7 linked regions of the Oryctolagus cuniculus genome follow. The protein of the gene in region 4 interacts with the protein of the main gene of each other region in a pairwise test. Links are inferred from orthologs where the notes say so. Each region holds a gene or a part of one and is shown on either strand. Other genes may lie near its edges. The genes, in order: MIEF2, NGLY1, TRIM32, UBQLN1, TMUB2, SRGN and retrotransposon Gag-like protein 8B.

Region 1 (4,023 bases), on a different chromosome or scaffold from region 4:
GACGCTGGGCGGAGGCCCGGGGTGCCGGCTGCGGGCTGCGGTGGGGAGGCCCGCAGAGCCCCGGCCGCCGCCCGCAGTGTGGCCGGAGGCGGGCGAGGTGGTGCCCGCGCCGAGCCCGGATCGCCGCTCACCTTGAAGTCGTTGCCGCTGAGGTCCACGCCGCGCACGAACGGCAGCACCCCGGTGGCCTCCATGGCGGCGCCGCTCTCGCTGCCGGGCCGGCCGGGCGCTGGGGGCGGCTCGGGAGCCGCGGGCTGGGCCAGCGCCGACTCCGCCCCGTTAACCCGCCCGCGCCCGCCGCCGCCGGCACCTCGGGCCTCGCCGGGGCCCGGGGCCTTGCGCTCTGGGGACCTCGCCGGGGCCCTGGGCCTTGCGCTCTGGGGACCTCGCCGGGGCCCGGGGCCTTGCGCTCTGGGGACCTCGCCGGGGCCCTGGGCCTTGCGCTCTGGGGACCTCGCCGGGGCCCGGGGCCTTGCGCTCTGGGGACCTCGCCGGGGCCCTGGGCCTTGCGCTCTGGGGACCTCGCCGGGGCCCGGGGGCCTTGCGCTCTGGGGGCCTCGCACTCTGCGTCCGCGCACAAGGGGTCCCCGGCGGTCTCCGTGCGGAGCCGGGGCGGCCCCACCTTCCTCACCCTACCAAGGTGGTGGCCGGCAGCGAGTGACCACGCGCGCACGTGCGGCTCGAAGCACGCAGCAGGTGCTTGGTGCGTGGCAGGTGGTTCTCATTAAGGCCCGCATGCAAACCACCCTTCCCAGGGGCGCTGCCTACGTCCCCATTGTACGGCACGGGAAACTGAGGCCCAGGCGGACAGAGGGCAGGCCCAGGGACGCACGGGGCCGGCGGCACACCCCCTACCCCGCGCGCAGACAGGTGCTAAGGCGCTCCCGCAAAGGTGACTTAGGGGTCGGCGTGCAGGCCTTTGGACCAGGTGCTACCACCCGTCTGCCCGGCCAGAGGAAGGAAACTGGGGCCCAGCCAGCTTCCTCCACGCGGGAGGCTCACATCACACACGCACACGCGCACGCATCCCCCGCGCCTCTGTGGGCTCCAAGCAGGCACCACGCAAACGTTGCGGGCCCAATAATGCAGCCCTGCGCCTTTAAATCCGGAGTGCCCCCGGAAAGCCCCGCCTCCGAGGGAGCGCGCAGGGCGGAGAAGGGGCGTGGCAGGCCCCTCATTGGCCGAACCTCGCAGTGTTTTGGAACGCCCCTGAAGAAGCCGAGCGCTCCGATTGGAGCTAGGGCCTGCTCGTCTGCCTACGCCAGCGCCTCGGCCTTCGGGGCCCGGGTCCTTCACGTTCCATCCGCAGGCGGGTTCCGGCGCCGGGTCCCGGCGGGCCCGCTGCGTGGTCCGGTCGGTGTGTGGACGCCGCGACGCAGGTACGGCTGGGAGCCCGGCGGGGCCTCCCCGACAACCCGCATCCCGGGTCCCCCAGCCCTAGGTGTGGCGCACGTCCGGGGGCGGGGCCCGGGAGGATTCCTGTGAGCCCCGAGTTCGAGTCCCGGCCCTGCCGTTCCCGGCTCGGGTGCTTGACTGGGTTTCCCAAGGCCTCCGTTGTCCTCGCCTGTGAACCGGCCCACCGAGGGACTGCCGCGCCGGCCTGGTAAGCCCGGGCCCAGCGCCGGCGGCTTGCGGGTTATTTTTAACTGCTCGGTTCCTGCGCGCCCCCCACCCCTTAGGTGGCACGGAGCCCTCGCTGGGGCAGGTGCGCGTGCGCTGGAGGGGTGGGCATTTCAAGTGCTTTACGCACTTGGCAGCGTGGAGGCCTGGGGGCCGATGGCAGCGCTGGTCCGTGGCCGGGGCCGCGGGGGTCAGCCGGCTGGCCCGTGACCTCCCCCAGGACGCCGGAGCCCCGTCTTATTTTTAGTCTGGCGCTAAGAGGCAGGTGTCCCGGGCTGAGTCACACAGAGCTTCGGGCTCCAGCTGCCCCGGGCAGTGGGGGGGCAGGGCACCCAGGGCGCAGCAGGAGGGCGGGCCGTGACCTCGCCGTCCAACGCTGAGGCTCCCGGGTGCCCTTGGCCACCCGTCCCCTGCACCCTCAGGGCCCGAGGTCAGGGTGGGCGTGGGCCTTCTCTGCCTCCACTCGGGCACTGCTCACCTCCTACCAGCTGGGCTGTGGCTCCAGGCCTGCATCTGGCTTAGCATCCTGCAGCCAACCCCCACCCCCCGACCCCGCCCCGACCTCTTGAGGAGCCGGCCACAGCCAGGAGGCCCTGCCCCCCCATCCCCTACCCTGACCTTGTGCTGAGCCGGCCACAGCCAGGGGGCCCTCTCTTTGGGGTCTTCATCTTTGGAGTTCCCTGCTCAATGCCCTTCTACATGATGGCTCCTGGCAGCCCGGACCCTCTGCCAGGGGCCTCCGTGTGAGCCCCCTTTGCCAGGGGCTGGGTTATTGGCCGGTTTGGGGAGGGGTCGTGGCTGCTCCCCCGGCTCCGTGCAGGAAGCCCTGCTAGCAGCCCCTGACTCACGAGGAATCTTCCAGAAGCTCCTCCTTGTGGACCCCAGAGCCCCTGTGCCTGCCCAGCCAGGTGCCCTCCCCGCCCCACCCCCACCCCGCAGCTACCCCGCGCCCCCGGCTCCCCTGCAGGTGGACCATGGCGGAGTTCTCCCAGAAGCGGGGGAAGCGGCGTGGCGGCGAGGGCCTGGGCGGCGCCGTGGACTTCCTCCTGGCCAACGCCCGCCTGGTGCTGGGTGTGGGCGGCGCGGCTGTGCTGGGCATTGCCACACTGGCCGTGAAGCGGGTAAGGCCGGGCTGGCGGGGGCTGGGGCTTGGTCATGGCTGCCGGCCGCCAGGTGCCCTGCTCAGCGCCGCTCTGCCCGCAGCTCATCGACAGGGCCACCGGCCCCCGGGACGAGGATGACGCCAAGGGGGACGGCTGGACGGAGCTGAGCCTGCTCAAGGCCACGCCGCACCAGCAGCCCCGGCCCCCACCTGCCGCCCTCAGCCTGCCCGAGCCACGCCGGCCCCCTGCCCCCTCCACGCCAGGTGAGCCGGAGCCTGCGCCCGGGTCCCTGCTCAGGCTGTTGGAGCTGTGTGGCCAGGGTGCTGGGATGCGGTCGGGTTCCCGCAGTGCATTGTGGGCTGCTCTGACGTGTCCCCCTTGCCTCTGCAGAGGGGCCCGCGGACGCCGGTCCCCAGCCGCCGCCTCTGCTCAGCCCCCCGGCCCCGCTGTGCCTGACCTTCCAGGAGAAGCTGCTGGCATTCGAGCAGGCCCACGTGGCCATCCCCGAGGCCCAGGTGGCCTTGGCCAAGCAGCTGGCCGGCGACATCGCCCTGGAGCTGCAGGCCTACCTGCGGAACAAGTTTCCCGAGCTGCCCTTTGGGGCCCTCGTGCCCGGCGGGCCGCTCTACGACGGGCTGCAGGCCGGGGCCGCCGACCAGGACCACGTGCGCCTCTCGGTGCCGCTGGCGCTGGAGCCGGGCCTCTGGAGCCTGGTGCCCGGCGTGGACACCGTGGCCAGGGACCCTCGCTGCTGGGCCGTGCGCAGGACTCAGCTGGAGTTCCGCCCCCGCGGCAGCAGCCCCTGGGACCGCTTCCTGGTGGGCGGCTACCTGTCCTCCCGCCTCCTGCTGGGTCTGCTGCGCAAGGCGCTCACCGCCTCCGTCAACTGGCCGGCCATCAGCGGGCTGCTCGGGTGCCTGATCCGGCCCAGCGTGGCCTCGGAGGAGCTGCTGCTGGAGGTGCGGCACGAACGCCTGGAGCTCACCGTGGCTGTGCTCCTGGCCGTCGCCGGGGCCGGCACGGGCGCCGACTGCCAGCTCCTGGCCTGGCCCCTGGAGGGGCTGGCTGGGAACCTCTGGCTGCACGACCTGTACCCCAAGGAGGCTGCCCGACTGCGGGCCCTGGATGAGCAGGACGCCGGCAGCCGGCGGCGGCTGCTGCTGCTGCTATGTGGCGTCTGCCGTGGCCACCCCGCCCTGGCCCGCCTGGGCCGGGGGCCCCTGACGCAGGTGGTCCTGCGGGCGGGGGAGCAGGACGTGGACTGGACCGAGGCGGCCCTGGGGGAGCGCTTCCTGCAGGC
Region 2 (4,037 bases), on a different chromosome or scaffold from region 4:
TGTGTGGGATGCAAATGTTGATTCTCTGGCCCTCCCCCCACATCCTACTATTATTGTGGATGTGTTTCATGCTGGCCACCACATCCCACTGACGCGTGGCTCCTGAAGTTTACAAAACACTCCTTTACTGAATCCTATTATCTGAGCCGGGACTTAACCGACTTCAGAATCTGCATAACCAGGAACCCGTCAGGGCTGACGGCCAAGCTCCTTTTTTTTTGGACGGCTGTTGCTCGTTCCTTCCGGGGTCGTTCCTTCTGGGGGTCTTTTTCATCCATGGCTACTATCTGTCTAGCACCGCCTGGGCACAGAGGCCATAACAGTGTTTTATTGGTGGTGACGACAAGGAACCAGAAGCGGCCTCTCCACCTTCGCGGCCGGGTCCCGGCGGCTGGCACTCGGCGCTGAGGAAGCCGAGTTCCCCGGACCCTCTCGGACGCAGCCCACACCTGCACTCCGCGCCCCCCGACCCGGCCGGACACCGCCGTCCCTCCGGCCCGCGCCCCGCCCCCGCCCCCGCCCGCAGGCCCCCGCCCCGGCCAGACACCGCCATCCCTCCAGCCCGCGCCCCGCCCGAGGAGCCCCGCGCCCCCGCCCCGGCCGGACACCGCCGTCCCTCCGGCCCGCCCCCCGCCCCGCAGGCCCCCGCCCCAGCCGGACACCGCCGTCCCTCCGGCCCGCGCCCCGCCCCCGCCCCGCAGGCCCCCGCCCCGGCCGGACACCGCCGTCCCTCCGGCCCCCGCCCCTCCCCCGCCCCGCAGGCCCCCGCCCCTCCCGAGGAGCCCCGCGCCCCCGCCCCGGCCGGACACCGCCGTCCCTCCGGCCCGAGCCCCTCCCACCCCCCTCCCCGGCCCTGCAGGCCCCCGCCCCTCCTGAGGAGCCCCGCGACCCCCGCCCCGGCCGGACACCGCCGTCCCTCCGGCCCGCGCCCCGCAGGCCCCGCCCCGGCCGGACACCGCAGTCCCTCCGGCCCGCGCCCCGCCCCCGCCCGCAGGCCCCCGCCCCGGCCGGACACCGCCGTCCCTCCGGCCCGCGCCCCGCCCCCGCCCCGCAGGCCCCCGCCCCGGCCGGACATCGCCGTCCCTCCGGCCCCCGCCCCGCCCGAGGAGCCCCGCGACCCCGCCCCGGCCGGACACCGCCGTCCCTCCGGCCCGCGCCCCGCCCCCGCCCCGGCCGGACACCGCCCCTAGCGGGCAGCGGCGGCGGCGGCCGCGCCGCGGAGGCGCCTGCTCAGTGCGGGACGCGCGCGCTCGGGCATGGCGGCGGCGGCGGCGGCGGCGGCGGCGGCGCCGGGCGGCTCCTCGGGCTCGGCGTCCCCGGCCGTGGCCGAGCTCTGCCAGAACACCCCAGAGACCTTTCTGGAGGCCTCCAAGCTGCTGCTCACCTACGCCGATAACATCCTCAGGTGTGGGGCCGCAGGGCCGGCGGGGGGCCGGGGCGGGTGGGCCGCGGCGCCTGCTCGGCCCGGGGCTGAGGGGCGCCGACCCCGGCCGCGCGCAGGCGGCGAGGCCCGGAGGGGCCCGGGCCCGAGGGTGGCCCCGGCTCAGCTTCCAGCTCCGCCGGCCAGGCCGCAGCGCCGTGAGAAGAGCGAGTGCCTTCGCAGGTGTGACCGGGCGTTTGCTGGCGGCCGCCCAGGTGACCCGCCGCGCCTCGGCCTGGGGTTCGCCTGTGTTCAGTGCCCGGGCGGCGGTGCCAGCGGCGTGGCTGGCAGGTGCAGCCGCTTGTCACAGCGCGGTCCGCGACCGATTGAACGTCTCAGGACTACTTTCTGCTCCTGTTTAGGAAGGGGTGGGCTTCACATGGTTTGGGCTTTTTTTTTTTTTTTCTGCCCATGTTTGTTGGTTGCAATATTAACCATGGTGCTTCAGTTACACTTTATATATTAATATCTAGAGTCCACTTTGCAGTGCGATCCTTTAAGAATTAGTGAAGGTTGTCACCTTGGAGGAGACCTTACCCGTTGGGGGAATTGTCAGGCAAGGTTGATTATTGTCATGCTCCACCCCCGCCACTCCCAACTCTTCAAATCAGGCCGTGTGTCTTCAGGAGGGACATGGCTTTAGGGGAAGGGACTGGAGTTCCAGGTGCTTCCATGGAGTTCCCTCTTGGGTCACACTTGTGCAGGTTCTGGCGCGTCTTCCTCTTCTAAGCGGTGTGTGGATTGGCATGAAGTCTAAAAGTTCACTTTCAAGGCTGTAGGCACTATGTGACCCAATTTTTAGAGCAATTGCAAGTGCAGTTTTTAAACCCATGGCAGCAGCATTGTTTATTTAGGTAAAGTTAATGATTTTGAAAGTACACTGAAGGGACAAGCTGTTACCCCCTTATTATGTGCCAGGAGCTGTGAGAGATGCAGCACGTGGACTGTTCACAGCCAGAGAATTGTGACCTAGGTGAGGACCACCCTCCTTCTCTGTGACACCTTCTCAACTCACCTTGCCTACCCTTGGAGGCCATACGGCCCTTCCGAGTTCGCAGGTGCCCGTGGCTGCTGTGAGCGAATTTATAGGCTGTGTTCTCCCGAGGCCATCAGCTTGGTCTTCCAGCCTGGAAAGCCAGCCATCAAACTGTTTTAACCCTGCTGTTCAGAGAAGGCGGGTGGCCTTGTGATGAGGATTCACTCCTGCTTCCCGGCCAGTGGAACCAGGGTGTTTTGCGGAAGGAAACCTTTGCATGCGAATGACTGTGTGCATGGTAATCATTTTGAATGTTTGGTAAACTGAAAGATTCTTGGTATGGAATCAGTCCATGTACTGTCTTTACTGTGGCTTGATTCTGATGTTCAAGAGTTTCTATCTAAAAGGGGAATTATGAATTTGGAACTCAGATAATTGGAGATGGTATTGAAAACTGCACTTTTTAGTTTTTCTTAGCTGATAGTGTCCCTAACGTCATATTCTCAGAGTTCAAACCCCTTCAGGCTGGGGGACAGTGAGACAGCGGGTGGGGATGTGGAGGCTTGCCAGCTTCCTACAGGAAAGCCTCAGATCCCCTCCGCGTCTCCCACCACTTGACCTTACAGATCTGCTGAGCTAACTGCAAAATACAGAAGCTCAAGATTGTCTGTTCCCCACGCTGTTCGGGGCAATCTAGCATTAGAGGTAAGGGATTGTGTAAAGGGTTTTGGTTTGCTGTCCCTTGCTCTTACCTCAGGAAATGACATACAGTTTCCTAGAATGAGTGCTGAAGTGAGAATTTCATCAGGTTTTTATTAAGCACCAGTACTTGTCACTGTACACACTGAATCTCAAAAGTAATACTTTTGGTTCAGTTTTAAATGTATGCTTTGGATGATATTTAGCCTATCCTCCAACTGATAGCCATCAGTGTAATTATAGAATAAAATACGTGCTAATTTGCAGGCATAATATGTCATGGATTTGAACCTTTTTTTCTGTTCACTGACTCTTAGATAAAATGACCTGTCCTCTATGGTATCTACTTTCCCCAAAATTTGTAGCAGTTTCATTGACATTCTATAGGGGTTTGTAGAGCATTTGTTCCATTTATTCTTTAAAAGATATCCTGATTTTTCACTAATTTCCTTTGTACACTGCACACAATTATTGATGATAAACTGCACTGGCTAGTGATAGGGAAGAGCCAGCAATGGAAAAGTGGCTTATTTATCCAAAGAATATAAATCTGTTTTGTAAAAACACACAGTTATGAAAAGGGGCAACGTCATGTCCTCTATGGACAATTCCATGAGAGTATTTAAGTGCATGCGTGTTTATGTGAGGAGATAGCAAGAGGACCTGACATGGTACAGTTTTGAGAATAGAAGTTTGATGAGATAGGACCAGTTGGTGGAGTAGCAGAGACTGTATATCTGACATGATCTCCAAGATCACAGTTTCTAAGGTCAAAGAGAAGCATAAAATGAGAATGCTTCATGCAGAATAGTAGTAAGACACATGACATTGATTCCAGTTGTAAAGCTATTATATACTCATAAATGCAGATGGATTGGAGACAGGCAGTATAGGCAGGAATTGGCAGTTCTAATCACTGGATGCATGGAGTAGAGCTATAGT
Region 3 (4,189 bases), about 86 Mb from region 4:
CCAGCCATAGCAGTCATTTGGGGGGTGAACCAACAGAAGGAAGACCTTTCTCTCTGTCTCTCTCTCTCACTGTCTAACTCTGCCTGTCAAAAAAAAAAAAAAAAAAAAAAAAAAAGTGACAAGACAAGTACTTGTCCAAAGTCACAGAAAATTAGCAGAGTAAGGAGTCTGGACTTCTAGCCTCTGATTCCCAGATGGACTGAATTCCCACTATACATTTTCCCAAGCACTGTATGTGGGTATTTTAGTTATGTCTCTTGCCCTGGACCCAGTCCAGCTTTGTTTCTGAGCTGGCTTCAGCAATGCTGTAGGTAGTCCTAAAGCTATACCAGGGGAAAGAAACTTAAAAGAGATCACTCATAACAGTAATTATTTTCCTGCAGGAGGGCTGCCTTAAGCCTCAGTACCTGCTGGAAGGTGTTTTTGTCAAGTCCAAGTCAGTGGCCTCCATACCTCAGACTCTGGTTCCCTGTACATCCATCCTGCTACCTTCAAGTTCCTCTCCCTATCTACCCACTGGTCATGGTCTAAAAGCAAACCAAGTACAAAGATTAGGGATCCTCCATACCTAATCAGAGATAGTTTAGCCTCATCCGTTACCACCCTACCTTTAGAATTCAATTTGATATGCAGTGTACTCACTGGGCAATCTTCCTTTTTAGTAGTGGGGAATGGGCCAAGTAAGTAAGACTAAGCAGGCCCACACAAGGAAGAAAGAAGCAAAGAGAAAATGTACAGTTACAGAGATCTGGATGTTAGTTTAACTTTTACCCAGTCTAGCTAAAAAACCTTAAGTAAGCCACTTCTTAAGTCTTAGTTCCTTCATATGTAAAACTTATATTCAGGAAACTGTTATTAAAACTAAGGAAATGTATACACAAACCAAAAACTACTGAATTCTAAGCACTTACTATGTACTTCACACTATGTATACCTTCACTGAATCTTCAATATATGATGACATAGGTCCTGTTATACTCATTTTACAGACCAAGAGCCAAGGCACTGGGAGGTTAAGGTATTCACTCAAGACCACACAGTTAAGAGATACAGCCAGGATTTGAACGCAGAATATTGACTACAGAACAGTCACTCAGTTTTAGCACTATTAACATTTTGGCCTGGATAATTCTGTTGGGGGCTGTCCCATGCATTATCAGATGTTAACAGCATCCCCAGTGTCTACCCACTACTGACCATCCCAGCTGTGACAAAGATGTCTCCAGACATTGCCAAATGTCCCCTGGGGACAAAACTGCCCCTCATGAAGACTACTTCTTTAGAGTCTAGCAAAGGACCAAAAGTTCAATATAAAAGAGTTTTCCTTTTATTGTTTCTCTCCCATTCCAAACAGTTCTTTTGCAAAGCCACTGCCTCTTCAAGCTATAATGGACCTTACACAGGATGAATTCCACTCATTTCCCTGGAGTTTTCATATTGTCATTCACAACTTGGGGATACAAGGAAAGGAAAGCTTAGGCACATGACCTTGTCATTTTCTGCTTCATCACCCCTTTGATCACTCTTCTTCCTACCAATGTTAGCAAGTCAAAGTAGAGATAGTGGCAGCACCATGCCTGCCTCATCAGGGAACTCTGGCTAATAACTGAGGAAAATTCTGCCCCTCACAAGAAAAGTAAAAGCACCTTCATGACCTACGAAGGCTCATGACTGTTCCTCAATTTCATACATTTATATAATTTCTTTTGGACGCTCAGGTGCCCAGAACACCCTCTGCTTCCCGTGCAGGGAGTTTAGGAAAAAAAAAAAAAATCCTTCAGTAGCCCAACACCAGCCCACAAATCTACTCAAAGTCTTTTAATTCATGACATCGCCTCTCACCCCTCCCCCCTTTCAATCCTCTTAAAACCCTGTTCCCAACCATCTTGCTATACAGAATTGCAACCTTTTGGGCTCTATATTGCAACCCGCACCGATTCTTCCTTCCTGTGCCCCATATCCCCCTGACAGTCTTTAATCCGTGTTTCCAAAGCTCTGGAGCCTTCAGCCCTGCACCCCGATTTCTGTCATCGTTTCACCTGAATCTCATCTCCTGCATTCCACCAGGCACTGTGCGGTCCCCAAACCCCGCTACGTTCTTTCTTACCTAAATCTTGTCTCTTGTGTTGCTTTCAAACCTTAGCCTAGCCCCCTTCCTTTTGCTAACAAGATACTGCTTGTCCCCAAGAACTCACCTCCTCCATTTCCCCCAGATAGCGCTCTGCAAATTCCTTTCTCTTTAGCAGTTAGGTTCGCCCTACACCTTCTCCTTCCAATCTTAGATCTTGGCCCCCGCCCGGTTCCCTCAAATCTCCTGAGATCCTCAAATCTCACCAGGGCCCTGTGTCCTTCCTGTTTTTGCAATTCTACACCCAGACCCCTCCAGCACCTCAGATTCCCTCCCATTTATCAGACGTTGCACCCCCTGTCTCCTCAAGGGTCCCACATTACCTCATATCTCCCGAGATGCTGCAACTGCGAATCTTCTCAGAGCCCCTGGCTCCCCTCCCCCAGCTAGCTACATCTCCTCGCAACTCCTCACCCCCACCGAATTTCTCCCGAGACTGCCCCTCACAGCCCCACCCCCACCCAGGTTTTGCCCTCAGATCCGGTACCCACACCCTGCCAGTTGGCTGCGGGCCTCCAACGCGGCCGCTCAGCCACCGCCCGCGACTCAGACCACGATCCTTCCTCCCCCTACCCTCCTTCCCGCCCCCTACCTGACCGCCCGCGCCTCCGACGCGTCCGCCGCCGGCAGCCCACCGCTCGCCGGTTTCTGCGCACGCGCGGCGCGTGCTACTCTTGTGAGGCAGCAATTCGCAGAGCGACCTGTCCGTCATTTCGCCCCCACCTCCCCCGGGGCATGCTGGGATTTGTGGTCCAGCCAGTGCGAGCGCCCGGGCTGGGTATATCCTCCGTGACTAGCTCTTTACCGAAAAACGGTGGCACTTAGCAACTCAAAATACTTTTCTGGTGTCTTTGAATGGGTTAGAAAGCTGAGGCCCACGGGCGAAAGGCGCCTTCCCAAGTTCACTCAACTATTTGGGAGCTAAGCCAGAACTCACTTGTTTGATTCCAGTCTCAAAGTCTAAACCTCTGCACTAAACCATGCCCTGCATGAGTGGTCCTCTGCAAAGCCTTTGCACTCCTCAGAAAGGCCTTTCTGAACCTCGGTTGCCTCATCTGAAAAATGGACAAAGAAAGACTAAAACTTGCATTCTGCGCAAGCACAGAACCTGCCCACCTCAGAGTGCAGCGCCCCGGGCAAACCTCTGACTCACCGCACCAGCTGCTGGAGGAAGTTTTACCTAATCAGATTATTCTCGGTAAAACCTTTTGCCTCTCCAGCCTACAGCACAGGTTGTCCCTGCAGACTGAAGCTACCTAGGAGCCCAAATCAGAGTCTAGCTTTTGCGGGGTGGGGAGACTTACCAGGTGGTCTGTGGTCCCCTCTACTGGAGTGACCTATAGTCCCTGAGGTCACGACTGTACTGGGTAGTTTAGGAGCACAAAGGAGTGTGAAGTAGGATAGGATTGCATTTGAAATTCCACTTAGCTGTGTTACCCTGAACAATGATAAAACAGCAAACAAAAATGGTACCAAAACATCTTGGAGCACTTCTTGTCTGCCTGCATCTGACATACCTGGCTCCTTTAATACTTATAAGGATTTTCTGAGATAGGCAGTTGATGCCTAGGTGATTCAATAGCAAAGCCACTTGTTCCTAAGTTTCAGAGCCCAGATTTGAATACAATTCAGAAACCACTTTTTTTTTTTTAATTATTTACTAGAAAGACAAGAGTGATGGAGGGACAGAAAGATCTCCCATCTGCTGGGTCACTTGCTACATGGTAACAACCAAAGGCAGAAGCCTAGACCTCTATGAGGGTCTCCTATGTGGGCGTCAGCGACCTGAGTACTTGAGCCACCTCCTCTGCCTTTCCAGGCACACTGGCAGGGAACTGGATCAGAGGCAGAGCAGCAAGGACTCAAAATAGGTGCTCTGATGTAGGATGCTAGCGGACCAAGCAGTGGCTTAGCTCACTGCACCACAATACTGGCCCCTGAGAATCCACCTTTTTCTTTCTTTCTTTCTTTCTTTCTTTCTTTCTTTCTTTCTTTCTTTCTTTCTTTCTTTCTTTCTTTCTTTCTTTCTTTCTCTTCCTTTCTTCCTTTCTTCCTTTCTTC
Region 4 (4,053 bases):
AGCACAGCCCAGGCTGTCATGGGCATCTGGGGAGTGAATCAGCGGACGGAAAACCCCTCTAACTCTGCCTTTCAAATAAATAAATCTTTAAAATTAAAAAAAAAAAAAAAAAAGTGGGGGGGGTGGGATCCCATAGTAGCATGACTATATGGACAATAAAAAAAAAAAAAAAAAGACCGCAGGAGCAGCTGAAAGAAACATCCCCCAGTCCAGTGCACCCTTGTCAATCTTACTACCACTTTTATAGTAAGAAATCATGCCTTTGTCAAAGTCAAATAAATAACTGGTCAGATATCAATGAAGCAAGTGGAGCCCAAACTGCCTCCACCATACAGTGTACTAACATTTTATTTAGGGAAGCCTGAAAATCTACTAAAGGATAATCAAAACATCAAGCTGGGGTAAATAGACGGCAATAAGCCTTTTTAAAGACATGGTTAGAGATAATAAATTGAAGGTTATCTTTTTCCTTCTACAAAAGAGGCAAGACAAACCAAGTGTAAAAGCTAGAGATTTATTGTTATTTTGTGATTAATAAATCATCAAATTGGTTATGACACTGTCCCACACTGTCCCACCATTCACCATACACAAGCTTTTAAACCAGACTGAGGCATAAGGCAAAAAGAGCAAAGACACATGAATCCCTTCCTCTGCAACCTCCTCTCGTCATGCCTCCGCCGGACCGTCACGCATGCGCTCCTCCTGGGGGAAGCATCAGAACAGTGCATGGACTGGTGGGCAACCCGGCATCCTAACCTTTTCAAATAGCAAGCAACTTATCAAAGTAATGGAATTCAACTTGTAGTTTCCTTGATTTTATTGGTCTGACTCATTTTAGTTTAACATTTTAATTTTCTGTAACTGTACATGAGATAATATAATGACCTAAGAGAATACTGAACCAGAGTCAGCCAAATATATTACTGACCCTGAAGTTATGTTTTAATTGGTCCTAAAGGAATGTACCACCCCGACAGTTTGAGAGTTAGGCAAACAGAACTTCTGTGGGGAGGGAAGAAAATGGCTATAGAACAGCCAAATGTATTCGACATTGTTAAAACGGCTCTTTGTTGTTCACCCCTGAATACTTCATTACTACACTATATGCACAGAAATCCTAACAGAATCTTGGTTGCCAGTATTACTTAGGCTGGCCCAATCCAGGATAGACTCCGCCACCCCACCCCCACCCCACTCCCCTTTCTCTGAGGCTCTGAAAAGCACAATATTTAACTATTTCTTAATAGAACTACCCAAACACTTCAGAAACAAGTGGCTCACAAATCATTTTAAATTCATGTATTGCCTGTGCATGAGAAAACTGATAAACCAAAAGATAGTCCTATTTGTATATGGCAATTAAAAATAACTGAAACATCAAGACACTTTCAGTGAAAGCAACATTTCAATTACAAATTGTAATGCCTGCTAAACTACCTATGGGCGAAGCTGAAAAGTCCTAGGCAAATGCATTTGTGGGTATACTACAGTGCTCCTTCAGTCTGCACAAAGAGTAAGATAATTTACAGTCACTCTGTGAATGCTGAGACAATGTTACATGATGTTGTCTGTACAATTAAATGTCCTTGAACAGACAGCCAAAATCAGCTTTTCTATTATAGTTTCCAATGAACCTGACTAACCGGCACTTTTGCTGAGAGATGTTTACCAAAGATGCTGTAAGATTCTATACAACTGGGAAATACTCAGCTTTCAGAGCATTTCCTATTCTTACTTTTGTGATTACAGGTGTTTGGGTCAAATACTGCAGTTTGTTTCTAGAAAGGTGCATTCTCTGTGTTGTATACAAATAAAGCAAAAATCATCAGGAGTATAAATCTTACAGCATTCTGTTTGCAAAAATACATGCCAAAGTCACAATAAGCAATATTGTACCACAAATTATAGAGCGCAAATGATTTGCTTCTTTTTAATGCTTTTATTCTACATAAATTACTACCATAGGCTAATGTTTAAAAAGCAAATAAACTGGACAGATGCAGGACCAAAATCAGTTCACCCAACTATAAAAGGTGATGTTTTAAAAAAATTACAATAAATGCAGAAGTGTTTGATGCATGCAGTAGCCTTAAATGAAAAAGCATTGATTCCCACGGTTCCAAAAAAGAAAAACACAGAAAAACCCACACATCTTACTGAACTCCACCTTAAAATCAATCATATTGGGTTTGTTTATAACAGCACAGAATTCCAAGAGTCAAAATGAAATAAAGCAGGTATTTTAAAGATTTAAGAGCCGTTATCAAAAATAAATTACATTTTTTCAAGATACAGAAATGCTGCTATGACGGCTGGGAGCCCAGTAACCTTTCAATAGCTGCGTTGATGTCACCTCCTGTTGCTATTAGCGCCTGCAAGTTTGCTTCACGGTTCAAAAATCCCATTGCACTGAGTTGTTCCAGTTGTTGCTGAAATCTGACTTCTGGATTCTGTAGCTGTTAAAGAAGGAAAATGAATCAAATTCTAAGGGAAATCAGTCCATGTCAGACACAAATGACTTTTTAAAACTTAACTGCTCTTTTATAACATATGTCGGTTTGTTCAGTTTTAAAACGCTCTTTTCTCTTGAAACACCTCCAACGTATACAAATGTACATTAGCACTTTATTTTGTTGCTTTTGAAAAATCTATCTGAAAAGCAGGAAGAGACCAATCAATCAAATGGATTGATATTCCATCAGCTGGTTCACTCCTGAAATGCCAATAGCTAAAGCCGGATCAGGCCAAAATAGGAGCCAGAAACTGAATCCACATGTCCCATATAGGTGGAAGGGACCCAAGTACTTGAACCATTAACCGCTGCCTTCCCAGGGTGTGCATTAGCACAGAGTAGAGCCAAGACTTGAATCTCAGATACGGGATATGGGTGTCCAAAGTTTCATATTGACCACTACGCCAAATGCTCGCCTCTACTTTGTTATTTTAAATGGTCTAGTTTATACCTAAACAATAACCAGTTAGGTCATACAACTGATGTAAAAAAAAAAAACTTCAACCATTACTTTACATGCTCATGAACATGCAGAAAAACTTGGACATTTATATGTAAATTCAGAGTTCCCACTGACCAGTGTCCTAGAGCAGGCGTTTAGTCTAGAAGTTAAGACGCTTGTGTCCCACGCTGGGAATACCTGGGTTCAACCCCTTGCTCCTGATTCCAGCTTCCTATTATTGCAGACTTGGGAGGCACAATGATGGCTCAGGCAATTAAGTTCCTACTACCTATGAGTCGCTGGCTCCCAGTTCTGACAATGGTCCAGCCCAGCTGTCATATTTGGTGAGGGAACCAGCAGATGGGAGCGCACTCATGCTCACCTATAGAATTTTAAAGTTCCAATGAGGCTCAGAATGTGGATTACATTTCTGAACCAGCCATCCAACCTACAGCCTCAAAACTATACTCTTAATCCTAACGACTCAGCTGCGTCACATCTTTCTTCAGAAATGAGGCTTGTAAAGTCTGGGGGCAACCACCTTTGTATAATGGTACATTATAAACGATTATTCTAAAGATAATAAACGTTTACAATGCAAGAATATTGGGGAGAGTCTATATTTTTAGCTTTATTTGTGAGGTATATATATGTAACACAAGTTACTACAGGTGGGCAGTGCTGCGGTTACATGGAGTGAGGTAAGCAGGATTGTTTTTCAAAGTCTAAATACAAAGACTACATATGTCCAGGATGTGCTCAAGATAATCAAGTTTCTACTCTTCTCTGACAAACTTTCATTAAACAATATTCAATTCAAATGGATTTTCCAACAGGAACTTCAAAAATTAATAATTTTAAAATGCAACTTCAAAAATTACATTCCTTGTAGCATTTCTTCAAGTACAAAAATGTTTTGTTTCGTGTCTGATATAGCACCAAAGTCAACTTTTGTAACATTTATTTTTAATTTCAACTTTTTTTTTAAAGATTTATTTATTTGAAAGGCAGTTAGAGAGAGAGAGGGCTTCCATCTGCTGGTCTACTTCCCAGATGGCTGCGATGGCTGGGGATAGGCCAGGCCAAAACCAGGAGC
Region 5 (3,929 bases), on a different chromosome or scaffold from region 4:
CATCGCAGGTGGCAGCTTTACCTGCTATGTCAACACTGTATCCCTTCTCCTTTTGTTTTAAATATTTATTTTATCATTTTTTGAAAGGCAGAGCTAGGGAGACATCAAAAGATACATTTCATCTGCTGGTTCACTCCTCAAACAGACACAATGGCCAGGGCTGGCCCAGGCTGAAGCCAGGAGCCTGGAGCTTCTTCCGGGTCTCCCACGTGGGTGCAGGGGCCCAGGCACGTGGGCCGTCCTCCACTGCTTTCCCAGGCCATAGCGGAGAGCTGGATGGGACGTGGAGCAGCGGATGTTGGTGTCCCACTTGGTGGTTTAGCCCGCTGCGCCACGACCGGCCCCGGATTCCTTTTATATAAAGTGCAAAATCAGGAAAACTAACCTATGACGGACTTCAGTGGCTAGACGAGGTCTGAAGGGAGCTGGTTCTGGGGTCATTTCCTTTGCTGCTTCTGCAGGCTCGTTCTGGCCGAGAGTTCAGCCGGTGCAAACCACCGAGCCCTGCACTTAGGATTGCCCCGGCTGCATTATTTATACTTTAATCAACAGCTCATTAAAAACACAAACCCTTAGGTAAGTGCTGGGGAGCTGAGCTTTTTCTCCCGTCTCTCTGGCTCCTTTTCTCGTGCCCCGAGGCTGCGATGAATCCCTGCCTCTCTGAAACGCTTTCCCGCCGTATTTACCCAGGCTCCACGCCACCTGGAGCTGCCATCTTCGCGCACTGCCTAACCTGGCCCCTCCATCTGCCCTACCAGCCCAGAGCCGAGGAGGTCCTCACTGATTCCGGGGACTTGGAGCTCAGTCCGCGGCCCAGGGCGGTAAAGAATCCCTTCAGCCTGGGAGCCAGGGAGCAAGGCCTGAAGAAACAGGCCGCAGAGTGGGCGGCCTCTTTCAGGCTCCGGCCGGGGGAGCCAGCCTGGGCAAAGTTCCACGGCCACGAAGCCACGCCCCGCCCCGAGCACCTCCCCCCGGCCCCGCCTCTCACCCCGGTCGGCCTGAGGCCCCGCCCACCAGGCGTGGCCTTGAGCCCGGAGGGCCGCGATCCCGCCAACAATGACTCCGCCCCTTCTTCCGCTGAGAATCCTGTCCCTTTTATTTAAAGAATACGTTTACGTCAGCTCGCCTTACGTAGACGTGCGTCATCAGTGCAAGGCGCGGAGGCGGGACTTCCTATCTGTGGTTCTAACAGCTTCCGGGAGAAGCCGGAAGAGACTGGACTGTGGACCGAGTCGAGGATTGCCAGCCCCTCCCCCGGTCCCTACGGAAAGACGAGGCCAGGGGCCGTCCTGGAGAAGGTAAAACTATTTAGTCTGGACTTTTCAGGTGAGGACCTCCTTCCCCATCCGAGCACAGTACCAGTCCAAGCCCCCTTTAATTTTCCCATGACTCCTCGCGCCCTCAAGCCCCACCCCCGGTCCAGCAGCCCCGCCCCGAAGTTTGAGGGGTGTGGATGGTTTGTGACCCCCTCACCTGATCCTGCCCCTCGGGGCCTAGGAGAGCTGGGCTTGGGCGCCGTGACCGGAACCCGGCAGCCCCCGCGCCAGCGTTGCGGGAGCAGGACCGCCCAGACGCGGAGCCTGCGGCTCGGACAGACGGGGAGGCGGACCCTCCTCACTCAGCGCGCCGACGGGCTGAGAGGGCGAAGGCCCGGGGGGCGGGCGGGCTGGGGTCCCGGTGTCCAACCAGCCGTTTCGGTCGCTTCGCCGCCACCCTTTTCTGTAAAGCGCGGCTCATGCCATTACCGCGCCTGCCGTGAGGGCTTGGTCGGGGCAGTGGTAACCTGATGGCTGCCACTTGAACGGCTGCAATGTGCCGGGCAGCGCGCTAGGTAGTTTGCTTGGGTGATTTCACGTCATCTTCCAAACGACCGGCCGAGGTAGGTGCTATTTTTAACCCCGTTTTACCGAGGCTCTGAGAAAGTTGTCCGCCGCCAGGAAGAGGCAGGCGGGCGGGCGTTGTGATGGGTTGCTCTGTGTTTGCTTTCTCCCCGGCCGCAGGGGCAGGGCCGGCGTGGCGGGTGAGGCCGAGGTTGGTAGGTTCCCCAGGCGCGCAGTCCTCCTTGTCTCCTGGATCGGGTAGAGAGCCGGACAGCTAGAGCCGTGTGAGGAAGTTGCGCAGGTGCGGTGAGGACAGCCCGATGCTGGTGACCGCCGGCCTGGACTTGCCCAGGGGCGGCTGTGAGCGCAGCAGGTTCTCGGAGGAAGCGCGCAGGGTCAACGCCGCGGCCCAGGGAGAGCTGAGAGGGCCTGGGAGAGCCGGCGTGGAATCCTTCCCGAGGCGGTTCACCTGGGGAGTGCGTGTGGTGCTTGTGAGCCCCTGGTGGCCCCTCCGGTGGCCTCTGGGGAGGTGTGACTGCTTCGATGAGAGGTTCATTTTCCTTAGGTCTTGACAGCCGGGCCTGGATCTGCGACCGTGAGGGAGAAGGGGCTCAGATCTGCAAGGCTGGCCGCACAGGGCCTCCGAAGAGGCCTTAAGATAAAACTTTTCGGATTTCTTGGTTTCTCTACAGCTGCCTTGGAGGTTGCTTAGGGGACATACTTGCTTGACCGAGTGTTGGAAAGTCTAAGAACTGCGCTCAAAGAAGCGAATGTTTCTCCCCATTCACTAAAAAGTAGCAGCCGTGCAGGCGGGTGCTGTGGAGCCTGGGTATGCGGCCGCCAGTCGGACATCGCCGTCCTGTGTCGGAGCACGGGTCTGTGTCCCGGCTGCTCCGCTTCTGCTGCAGCTCCCTGCTAAGGGACCTGGGAAGCAGCGGAGGATGGCCCAGGACTTGAGTTCCGTATGGGAAACCTGGATGGAGTTCAGGCTCCTGGCTTTGGCCTGGCCCAGCCCCTGGCAGCTGCGGCCACGTGGGAAGTGACCCTGCAGATGGAGGACCTCTCTGCACTCTGCCTTTGAAATAAATGTTTCAGAACAGCAAACAGTGGCAGCAACGACACGCAGAGGAGGTCTTGCCGGGGATCTGCTGGTGGGGAGGTTGGAATGTGGGAGGAAGGGTGTGCAACCTGAGAGTTTCACAATCGTGGCAAAGGGTAAGGCCTTGGCTTTCAGTTTGGGGTCCAGAGTTAGGAAGCTTTGTGCCTCCCTTCTCCACTGAACTCCATTTGCAGTCAGGGCTGGGTCAGTGAAAGCCCAGACAAGCTAGAAACCTGGTCACAGCTCCTCGGGCTCCACTGATGCCGCCCCTCTTTGTTCTTGCAGCCCGGACCCCGTCGGCAGCCGGACCATGGAGCTCTCTGATGTCACCCTCATTGAGGGTGTGGGCAATGAGGTGATGGTGGTGGCCGGTGTGGTGGTGCTGATTCTCGCTTTGGTCCTAGCCTGGCTCTCTACCTATGTAGCAGACAGTGGCAGCAGCCAGCTCCTGGGCACTATCGTGTCAGCAGGCGATACATCTGTCCTCCACCTGGGGCACGTGGACCACCTGGTAGCAGGCCAAGGAGCCCCAGAGCCCAGCGAACTCCCCCCTCCATCAGAGGGTAATGATGAGAAGGCTGAAGAGGCCGGCGAAGGTGGGGGACACGCCACAGGGGAGTCGGGGGCTGGAGGCGGTGCCGAGCCCAGCCTGGAGCATCTCTTGGACATCCAAGGCCTGCCCAAGAGACAAGCAGGCAGAGAGGGCAGCGGGCCTGAGGCCCCCCTGCGCTCCGAGGCTAGCACCTGCATCCCTGCCAGCCCCGGCCTCATCCATGTGCGGCTCAAATTCCTCAATGACACCGAGGAGCTGGCTGTGGCCAGGCCCGAGGACACTGTGGGTGCTCTGAAGAGGTGAGTGGGCTGGAAAGCGGGAGGCTCCCAGCCCTTGGTGGGGGACGGTGGGGAGCAGCAGGGAGGCGTGAGGCACAGCCCCTACCAAGGGTGGGGGGCATGCTTCCTTCAGTTCCCTGGCCGCCCTCCCACCCCTCACCTTTGTCTTTCCTTCCGTG
Region 6 (3,996 bases), on a different chromosome or scaffold from region 4:
CTGGAAGTTTAGAGTACAGATCCTCTTTGGTTAACTGGAGGAATCTTTGGGCAGGAAGATGGGACCCTTCCCTACAGCGTGTGCCATGTTAGTGCTTTTGTGGCCAACCCTTCGTTGGTTGCCGACAGTATCAGAACCTGACCGATGGAGGCATGGAGAGTGAGTGGTCAGCACTCCTTGGCTGGCTAGTGAAGGACATGGGTTTGGACCCAGGACTTAATTTTTAAGGTGTTTTTTTTTTTTTTTTTTTTTTTTTAGTTTAAATGTGTTTTATTTTTAGACAACCTACATGACAATGTTTTTTCCTTAAAAACAATGCCTCCACTCAAGTAAATCACAGTCAAAATAAATGAGCTCAAGATAGCATCAGCCCCATTTCTTGTAAGTCCTGATGCTGTGTGGCTGACGAGCACCAGCCAGTGAGGATGAGCAGTGAGAGATCCAACGTCGTTGCCAAACTCACTACTATAAAAAGGAGGAAGATTACATTAACATTTCCCTCCACACACCCAAACATTTCTAGGCTGCAAAGACCCAGGACTGCTGACTGTTGCATGTCTTAATCCTGCTCCTGTGTAGCTTCAAGACCAGGGCAGTGAGGCCGGAGGAAGACTATTGGGAAAAAGGACTTGGTTGTCAATGTGATGGGAAAAGAACAAGTGCTTATGAACACTGAAAACGTGTTTGAGAAATCATCACGACCCAGAGGGGAAAATGAAGTATGCAGACCCCTCCTTGATCCAGCATAAGCTCTGATCAGCTCGGCGAGTGTGCAGGAAACTTCTTGAAGCCATTGGCAGGAGCTTTTGTTTGGGTGCCAAAGTTTTAATCTGGGGGCTAGGATGAAAAGAGACCAAAGAGGAAGCCGCATATTCCCAGCTGACCCCAATCTCCCATAGCGCGGAGCCTGCCGGCTTTGTGAGTTTGGGTGGTGGTCCCTGGGCAGAGTCTGGGTTGCAGCTGGCTCCGGAGGGCCTTCTGCAGGGCATCTGGACACACGCTTGTGTTCTCACAGCAGAGCTGTGCAGAGCTGTTCCTCCGTTAGACTCTGGGCCCCTGTCCTTGTCCTCAGCAGGAAATGGTGAAGGAAGCGGAGAACAAGGGAAGGGAAACTCCGCCCTCCTATCAGAGGAGAAGCAAGGGTGAGGATGTGGGGGAGTGTGGGGCAAGCGCAGGAGCCACAGGGACAGCCGGGTGGGGGCAGCGTGGCTGACTCTTGAGAAGATGTAAGGAAAATTGTATGCCCGGGGTCATGTGTGATAAACTGTCGCATCTGTTGTGGGACTGTCCTGCGGAGCCGCAGTCCAACAGAAATCCACACGCCACCCCCAGGGTCGCGGGAAACATTAGTTACAGGGGACAAGGGTCTGTGTGTGCTCACACCTCAGCAGCTTACGCCTAAGAGGACACCCACGCCCCTTGCTCCCTGCTTCTGGCTTCTGCAGGGCCAGAGGATCCAAAGATCCAGGTGGACATTTCTTCCAGGGGCAAAGCTGAGTGTAGAACTGGAACACAATTGTAGGAAACACTGGATGTCCCAGAGCAGAGAGCTGCAAAGCAGGGTTTCTGTTTGGCTCAGCTTTTGTGAAGGAACATCCTCACTCAGTTCTTGAGGTGGAGGGAGAACCGGGCACCAGCGGGAGCAAGTGAGCCCAAGGAGGGGAAGCTGTTTCTCTCAGCTCTGACCACTTGCTCTTGAGGATGAGAACTTAGCCGTGCGGTGTTGCTTCTCAAGCTTGGCCCAGTGACTTCTGTTACTCTCGGGTGAAAAAGCATAGGCAGAACATTTTAGACGGAAAAGCGCTCAGCGAGCAAGAGGCAGCGCCTTGCAGGGTCTCTTGGTCCCGCAGGGGACTCTGGGTGTGAGCCACCTGTAGTTCACAGCGGTGCCCGGGGAAGCAGAAACAGACCACCCTGAATGCTGATGCTACTGTTTTGATGGGAAAAAAATGTCAACAGGCGAGTAGCAGACAACAAAGCTTCGGAAAAAGTAGGTCTGGGGAGAGTCCAGGGCAGTTTCATAATGGGTATGAATTGTGATTTCGTGGCCTTTCTTTCTCTCTGGCTTTCTGGGTTTTGATGTGGATCTCTTTCTATTTGTTCAGGAAATTGTGACGTGAGTTCTGGGCAGGGTTTGAGGTTTTGGAACCCTCTCTAAAAGGGACAGCCAGCACCCTGCTGCATTTCCTAATCGTGAGTTGGCTTGAGCTGGTCACGATGCAGAAGCTCCTCACCTGCAGTGGGCTTGTCCTGGCGCTCGGCCTCATCCTCACTTTGGATTCTTCAGTCCAAGGTAAGACCTGGGAGTCTGGATCCCCTAGAGTCTTCTTTGGTCACGCAAATAATTTCTGTCCCTTCAGGGTACAGAAGGGATAGTGGTGTGGAACATGAGGCAAAGGTGGGTAGGAGTGGTGAACTCCTTAGTGTGAGTTCTATTAAGTTTGGTACCAAGAAAAATGCAATGCTGAGGCAGGTGCAGCCTTGTGGACTCTTGCAATGGTTGCAGTGTGCTGTGTTATTTTTGGGTTAATATGTGTGGTTTATACATAAAAACCCAGGAAAGAGATATGAGAAGTGGTCCATACGTCTGCTGTCTGGAGATAGCACCTGTGGGTGTTTGGAGATTTGCTCTCTGCCCCCCCTCGGGGGTTTAGTGCATTGTGGTGCTATTGTTATTTTAACACTAGGAGAGGCTAGTTTTCAAAATTGGGGTACATTTGACCATGTGTACTTTTTTTCTTTTAGAACTTGGTCACTACTGAAAATTCAATTGTGGTTAGACATAGTTAATGCAAACCCTATCAGATTTTAACGAGAGGCCAAAAGATGGAAGTATTTGTGCTGTTACTCAGAGAAGCATCACACTCGGCAGTGTCTTCTTGGGTTTCTCCGTCATCTGGGGGTGGTTTGCTTAGACTGGAACAACCTGAAACCATTGGTGACTAAGAAGATGAAAATGACCAGTTTATAAGAAACGTGATGTCTTCTTCTTTGGAATCATGTCTACACAAGGCCGTGGCCTGATCAATAGATGGCAGAATTTATGGTAGAAAATAAGAAGTTCCCCAAGTGGAAAGGGGAAACGTTGAGTCACAGTGACACATAAGTGCTGGATATGCGTCTTCAAAGTGACTACGAGCTGTCATGCTCTTACTTCCGGGGGAAATGAGATCTTACAGATGAACTCAGAGATGTTCCACATATATTGGAAAGTTATAGAATTATTTTCTCATAACGATGAAAAACAGCAAGTAATGTTCCTGAAACTTTTCCATTAATTGATTTATATTTGAAATAAAACATCCTTGAATGTAGGGAACTGGCTTTACCTGGGTCTTCTAGGGGAAATCTTCAACTTGATGTAACAGTTCCCTAATGGTCATGTGTTCCAACAAGCTCAGGAGCTGTGAGGCGGGGGGTGCATTTGGCACAGTGCTTGGATGCTACTTGTGACTCCCACACCCTGTACTGGAGTGCTTGGGTTCAAGTCCCCACTTTACTTTTTTTTTAAACATTTGTTTTATTTATTTGAAAGACAGTTATGGAGAGCGGAAGAGACAGAGAGAGAGAGAGAGAGAGGTCTTCCATTTACTGGTTCACTCCCTGAATAGCCTTAATGGCCAGAGCTGAGCTGATCTGAAGCCAGGAGCCAGAAGCTTCCTCCAGGTCTCCCACAGGGGTGTAGGGGCCAAGGTATTGGCCATCCTCTGCTGCTTTCCCAGGCACATTAGCAGGGAGCTGGATAAGAAGTGGGGCAGCCAGGACTTGAACTGACACTAATGTTGGTGCTGCAGGCCGAGGCTTTTTTTTTTTTTTTTTAAGATTTATTTTTATTTATTTTAAAGACAGAGTTACAGAGAGAGGTAGAGACAAAGAGAGAGAGAAGTCTTCCATCTGCTGGTTCATTCCCCAGATGGCCGCAATGGCCGGAGCTGCGCCAATCCGAAGCCAGGAGCCAGGAGCCAGGAGCCAGGAGCTTCTTCTGGGTCTCCCACG
Region 7 (3,250 bases), on a different chromosome or scaffold from region 4:
GTGTCAATTTGTTAAGTCAACAACAGGAGTCACTGTGCACTTACTCCTCATGTAGGATCTCTGTCCTTAATGTGTTGTCCAATGTGAAGTAATGCTATAACTAGTACTGAAACAGTATTTTACACTTTGTGTTTCTGTGTGGGTGCAAACTGATGAAATCTTTACTTAATATATACTAAATCGATCTTCTGTATATAAAGATAATTGAAAATGAATCTTGATGTGAATGGACTGGGAGAGGGAGCGGGAGATGGGAGGGGTGCGAGTGGGAGGGAAATTATGGGGGAGGGAAGCCATTGTAATCCATAAACTGTACTTTGGAAATTTATATTTACTAAATAAAAAAAGAAAAATAGATAGGTTGAATGTTTAGTGTTTTTCTGACTATCCTTCAAGGCACTTCTGGTACTTCAGTGGTCTATATAGATCTACCAACAGTTAAAGAGACTATGCTGCAAACTGAAGCTAAATGGAAGCATTATTCTCCCTTCTACTGCTTTTATAGTCATTTATGTATCTCCTAACTCTAACGTTCAAACGTCTGGTCTGGTCGACAGGCCCCGTTTAGGGCAAAGGAAGTTTTCTGGAAACTCCATCCTAGTCACCTTCTCCAGCAAAGCTGTTTTTAAATCAGGACCGGCTCCACATGCCTGCACAGGAACATCTGTGCTCCTGTCCCTTCCCTCATGCTCCCTCTCCCTTCTACAGCATTGCCACTGTCGTTACACACACATGCATTTTCCACGTCCTTGAAATAGTCCAGAACTGCTGACGTGCTGTGCAAGGAGCACAGTATGAAATTTAGGGGAAAAACAGGTGTTGAAGGGATAATAGGTGTCTCGTGTTTCATAATTCGTGGCAGGATTGTGCCATAGACAAGTGATTGAACTAGGTAAATCACACACCGAATTTTACTGCAGGAAATTAAGGTATTTATTTGCATTCAACCCTCCGTACAGTAGCTGCTCAGGGTGTAATTACTTTGCGCTAGTACTTGGGGTTGGCCTGTAATGTTGCAGAGTCAACACCTCTCTGGCTGAGACACACGACCGAGTTGCACCATGTGTTCAGAGACCCTCCCTCAAAAGGCAGCCAGAGCCCAGATCCGCAAAGGGATGCGCAAGGGCGCGGAGTGAGGGAGGACGAAGGGCGACGCCCCCGGACTCGCTAACTTCCCCAAGTGGAACCAGAAGCTGTCCAAGAGCAGCAGACCCCAGCCTCGCCACACGCATCTGGGGTGTCGCGTTCCTCCGCGGCTCCCCGCCTTTCGCCCGCCGCCCGCCGCCCGCCTGGGACCGCCCCCTCCCGCCTCCAACTCCGCCTCCTCCAGGGCTGGCCACGCCCCCGGCCGCCCCTATCCCGCCCCCTGCCGCGCCTCCCTCTCCCCCCGCCGCTGCTGGCTCCCGACACGCGCCTGCGCCGTGCCGACCGCTCGGCCTGGTGGGCGGGCCCGCGCGCCGCCCGCAGCCCGGCGCGTGACTCCGCCCACACCCGCCCCTCCCCGGGCCCGCCTCCGCGACGAGTCCTCGCCGCGACGCCCGAGCGCAGCCTTCCGCGCAGCCCCGCCAGCCAGCTCGGCGCGATGGACAATCGCATGCGGCTCGTGAAGGCCCTGCTGGCCCGGCCGCTGCGGCCCGCGGCGCGTCGCTGGAGGAACCCGATCCCCTTTCCCGAGACGTTTGACGGCGACACCGACCGGCTGCCGGAGTTCATCGTGCAGACGGGCTCCTACATGTTCGTGGACGAGAAGACGTTCTCCAGCGACGCGCTCAAGGTGACGTTCCTCATCACCCGCCTCACGGGGCCCGCCCTGCAGTGGGTGATCCCCTACATCAAGAAGGACAGTCCCCTCCTCAGTGATTACCGGGGCTTTCTGGCCGAGATGAAGCGCGTCTTTGGCTGGGAGGAGGACGAGGACTTCTAGGCCGCCGGAGCCTCGGGCCCGGGGCCGGCTGCCCTGGGGAGGGTGGGCTGCCCGCCGGCCGCCGCCAGGGTCGCCGCGGGCGGCCCCCGCCGCGCTCGCGCCCGAGTCGAGTCCCGCCGCCCCCCTGCTCCCCGAGTCGCCGCGGCGTCCCCTCGCCCCCGCCCGCCCGCCCGCGTCGTGCTTGCCTTTGTTCCAGGAATAGCGCTCCAGGCTGGCGCTGCTGCCTCTGGGCCTGGCTCTGGACAGCGCCGCCGCCCTGCCCGCTGCCGCCGGCCCGGCCTGTGCCCTGCACCGGGGGCCGCCGTCCGGCCCTCGGGCTGCAGGCTGGGCCCCCGCCGCGCGGCCGACGACCAACCACGCACCGCCGGCCGCCCCCCGCCAGCCCGCATCGCTCTGCCCACGCACCTGCGCCGCCGCCGCCGCCGCCGCCGCCGCCCCCGGCCTCCCGCCGACAGACTGCTCTTCTGAGCCACCTGGACTCCCCTCCGAGGGGTCTGGGCTGGCCGCGGCCCTCGGACCCCGACTCCGACAGCCGGCTGCCCGGCGGGGCCAGCCGGCCTCCCACCATGAGTGAGGCCGCGCCCCCTCCTCCCAGAGACACCTTGAGGGTCTGGGCGCTGAATCGCGCCTGTCACGTCCTCCCGTGGACATGACAGTAGTTCTCCCCGCCCCCCCGAGTCCCGGTTCTTCCGAACGTGCAGCTGTCTCTCTGATGTGTGCCTTGTGTCCCACACTATGACCCTGTGGTCTTCGCGGCTCTTTTACACTACCTGTACAGAAGTCTTTCCATTCTTTCAATAAATGTCAGACCCTGTCCAATAAGAAACTGCGTTCACTGAGTGTGCCACCTTTCCCTCCGTGCTCCTACAAAGCGGGTCTGTATCTTGTTCAGAAACCGCATGACCTGTTTCAGTGTTTCTTTGGACCATCCTAAATCAAGATTCCACTCCTGCCGTGGTCCTGGGGATGGAGAACCTACCACTGAGCATTCTGTCGCTGGTGCTGAATCCTATAATGCTATTAGAAATGTTTCATAGCTCTTTGGAAATGAATCTTTACTTCTCTTTTTTTCCCCTAGGTGATTTGAGAATTCATCCATAAGGGTTCATTGAAATGATTTCCTTATTTCTCAAAAGTTATTTGAAAGCCCAAGTCTCAAATTGTTATAAAATATAAAATTTATACACTCATTGTTTCTAAGCAGCTGTGAAAGTTTTATTTACTCTGATTTTTTTTATTTTCATTTTCAAATCCCAAGAAACATTTTGAACATTTTCTTAGTTTCCAGTGATGCTGTGCACTTCTGCAAATTCCCAAGGGATCACC

What was found.
Region 1: the proteins of UBQLN1 (region 4) and MIEF2 interact in binary tests that used the Homo sapiens proteins (3 or more experiments, as listed by UniProt). The two-hybrid records come from large-scale screens. The link is inferred for Oryctolagus cuniculus from reciprocal best matches to the Homo sapiens genes UBQLN1 and MIEF2.
Region 2: the proteins of UBQLN1 (region 4) and NGLY1 interact in binary tests that used the Homo sapiens proteins (3 or more experiments, as listed by UniProt). The two-hybrid records come from large-scale screens. The link is inferred for Oryctolagus cuniculus from reciprocal best matches to the Homo sapiens genes UBQLN1 and NGLY1.
Region 3: the proteins of UBQLN1 (region 4) and TRIM32 interact in binary tests that used the Homo sapiens proteins (3 or more experiments, as listed by UniProt). The two-hybrid records come from large-scale screens. The link is inferred for Oryctolagus cuniculus from reciprocal best matches to the Homo sapiens genes UBQLN1 and TRIM32.
Region 5: the proteins of UBQLN1 (region 4) and TMUB2 interact in binary tests that used the Homo sapiens proteins (3 or more experiments, as listed by UniProt). The link is inferred for Oryctolagus cuniculus from reciprocal best matches to the Homo sapiens genes UBQLN1 and TMUB2.
Region 6: the proteins of UBQLN1 (region 4) and SRGN interact in binary tests that used the Homo sapiens proteins (3 or more experiments, as listed by UniProt). The two-hybrid records come from large-scale screens. The link is inferred for Oryctolagus cuniculus from reciprocal best matches to the Homo sapiens genes UBQLN1 and SRGN.
Region 7: the proteins of UBQLN1 (region 4) and retrotransposon Gag-like protein 8B interact in binary tests that used the Homo sapiens proteins (3 or more experiments, as listed by UniProt). The two-hybrid records come from large-scale screens. The link is inferred for Oryctolagus cuniculus from reciprocal best matches to the Homo sapiens genes UBQLN1 and RTL8B.

The regions. Positions count from the first base shown.
Region 1 is NC_091448.1:62,264,245-62,268,267, reverse strand, and holds the start of MIEF2 (mitochondrial dynamics protein MID49), read left to right. Parts: upstream 1-1,223; 5' UTR 1,224-1,379; exon of another isoform or gene 1,380-1,603; intron 1,604-2,587; 5' UTR 2,588-2,594; coding exon 2,595-2,741; intron 2,742-2,823; coding exon 2,824-2,986; intron 2,987-3,113; coding exon 3,114-4,023. Other genes in the region: FLII (protein flightless-1 homolog), read right to left, coding at 132-194. UniProt on the Homo sapiens protein: Mitochondrial outer membrane protein involved in the regulation of mitochondrial organization.
Region 2 is NC_091435.1:161,886,322-161,890,358, reverse strand, and holds the start of NGLY1 (peptide-N(4)-(N-acetyl-beta-glucosaminyl)asparagine amidase), read left to right. Parts: upstream 1-1,237; 5' UTR 1,238-1,256; coding exon 1,257-1,405; intron 1,406-4,037. UniProt on the Homo sapiens protein: Specifically deglycosylates the denatured form of N-linked glycoproteins in the cytoplasm and assists their proteasome-mediated degradation. Cleaves the beta-aspartyl-glucosamine (GlcNAc) of the glycan and the amide side chain of Asn, converting Asn to Asp.
Region 3 is NC_091432.1:220,201,029-220,205,217, reverse strand, and holds the start of TRIM32 (E3 ubiquitin-protein ligase TRIM32), read right to left. Parts: upstream 2,801-4,189; 5' UTR 2,721-2,800; intron 2,582-2,720; exon of another isoform or gene 2,452-2,581; intron 2,305-2,451; exon of another isoform or gene 2,196-2,304; intron 1-2,195. UniProt on the Homo sapiens protein: E3 ubiquitin ligase that plays a role in various biological processes including neural stem cell differentiation, innate immunity, inflammatory resonse and autophagy.
Region 4 is NC_091432.1:134,602,527-134,606,579, forward strand, and holds the end of UBQLN1 (ubiquilin-1), read right to left. Parts: intron 2,460-4,053; coding exon 2,307-2,459; 3' UTR 501-2,306; downstream 1-500. UniProt on the Homo sapiens protein: Plays an important role in the regulation of different protein degradation mechanisms and pathways including ubiquitin-proteasome system (UPS), autophagy and endoplasmic reticulum-associated protein degradation (ERAD) pathway.
Region 5 is NC_091448.1:19,069,291-19,073,219, reverse strand, and holds the start of TMUB2 (transmembrane and ubiquitin-like domain-containing protein 2), read left to right. Parts: upstream 1-1,129; 5' UTR 1,130-1,298; exon of another isoform or gene 1,299-1,326; intron 1,327-1,416; exon of another isoform or gene 1,417-1,879; intron 1,880-3,204; 5' UTR 3,205-3,229; coding exon 3,230-3,771; intron 3,772-3,929.
Region 6 is NC_091446.1:60,863,734-60,867,729, forward strand, and holds the start of SRGN (serglycin), read left to right. Parts: upstream 1-1,196; 5' UTR 1,197-1,990; intron 1,991-2,105; 5' UTR 2,106-2,217; coding exon 2,218-2,293; intron 2,294-3,996. UniProt on the Homo sapiens protein: Plays a role in formation of mast cell secretory granules and mediates storage of various compounds in secretory vesicles. Required for storage of some proteases in both connective tissue and mucosal mast cells and for storage of granzyme B in T-lymphocytes.
Region 7 is NC_091453.1:112,833,394-112,836,643, forward strand, and holds retrotransposon Gag-like protein 8B, read left to right. Parts: upstream 1-1,490; 5' UTR 1,491-1,582; coding exon 1,583-1,924; 3' UTR 1,925-2,750; downstream 2,751-3,250.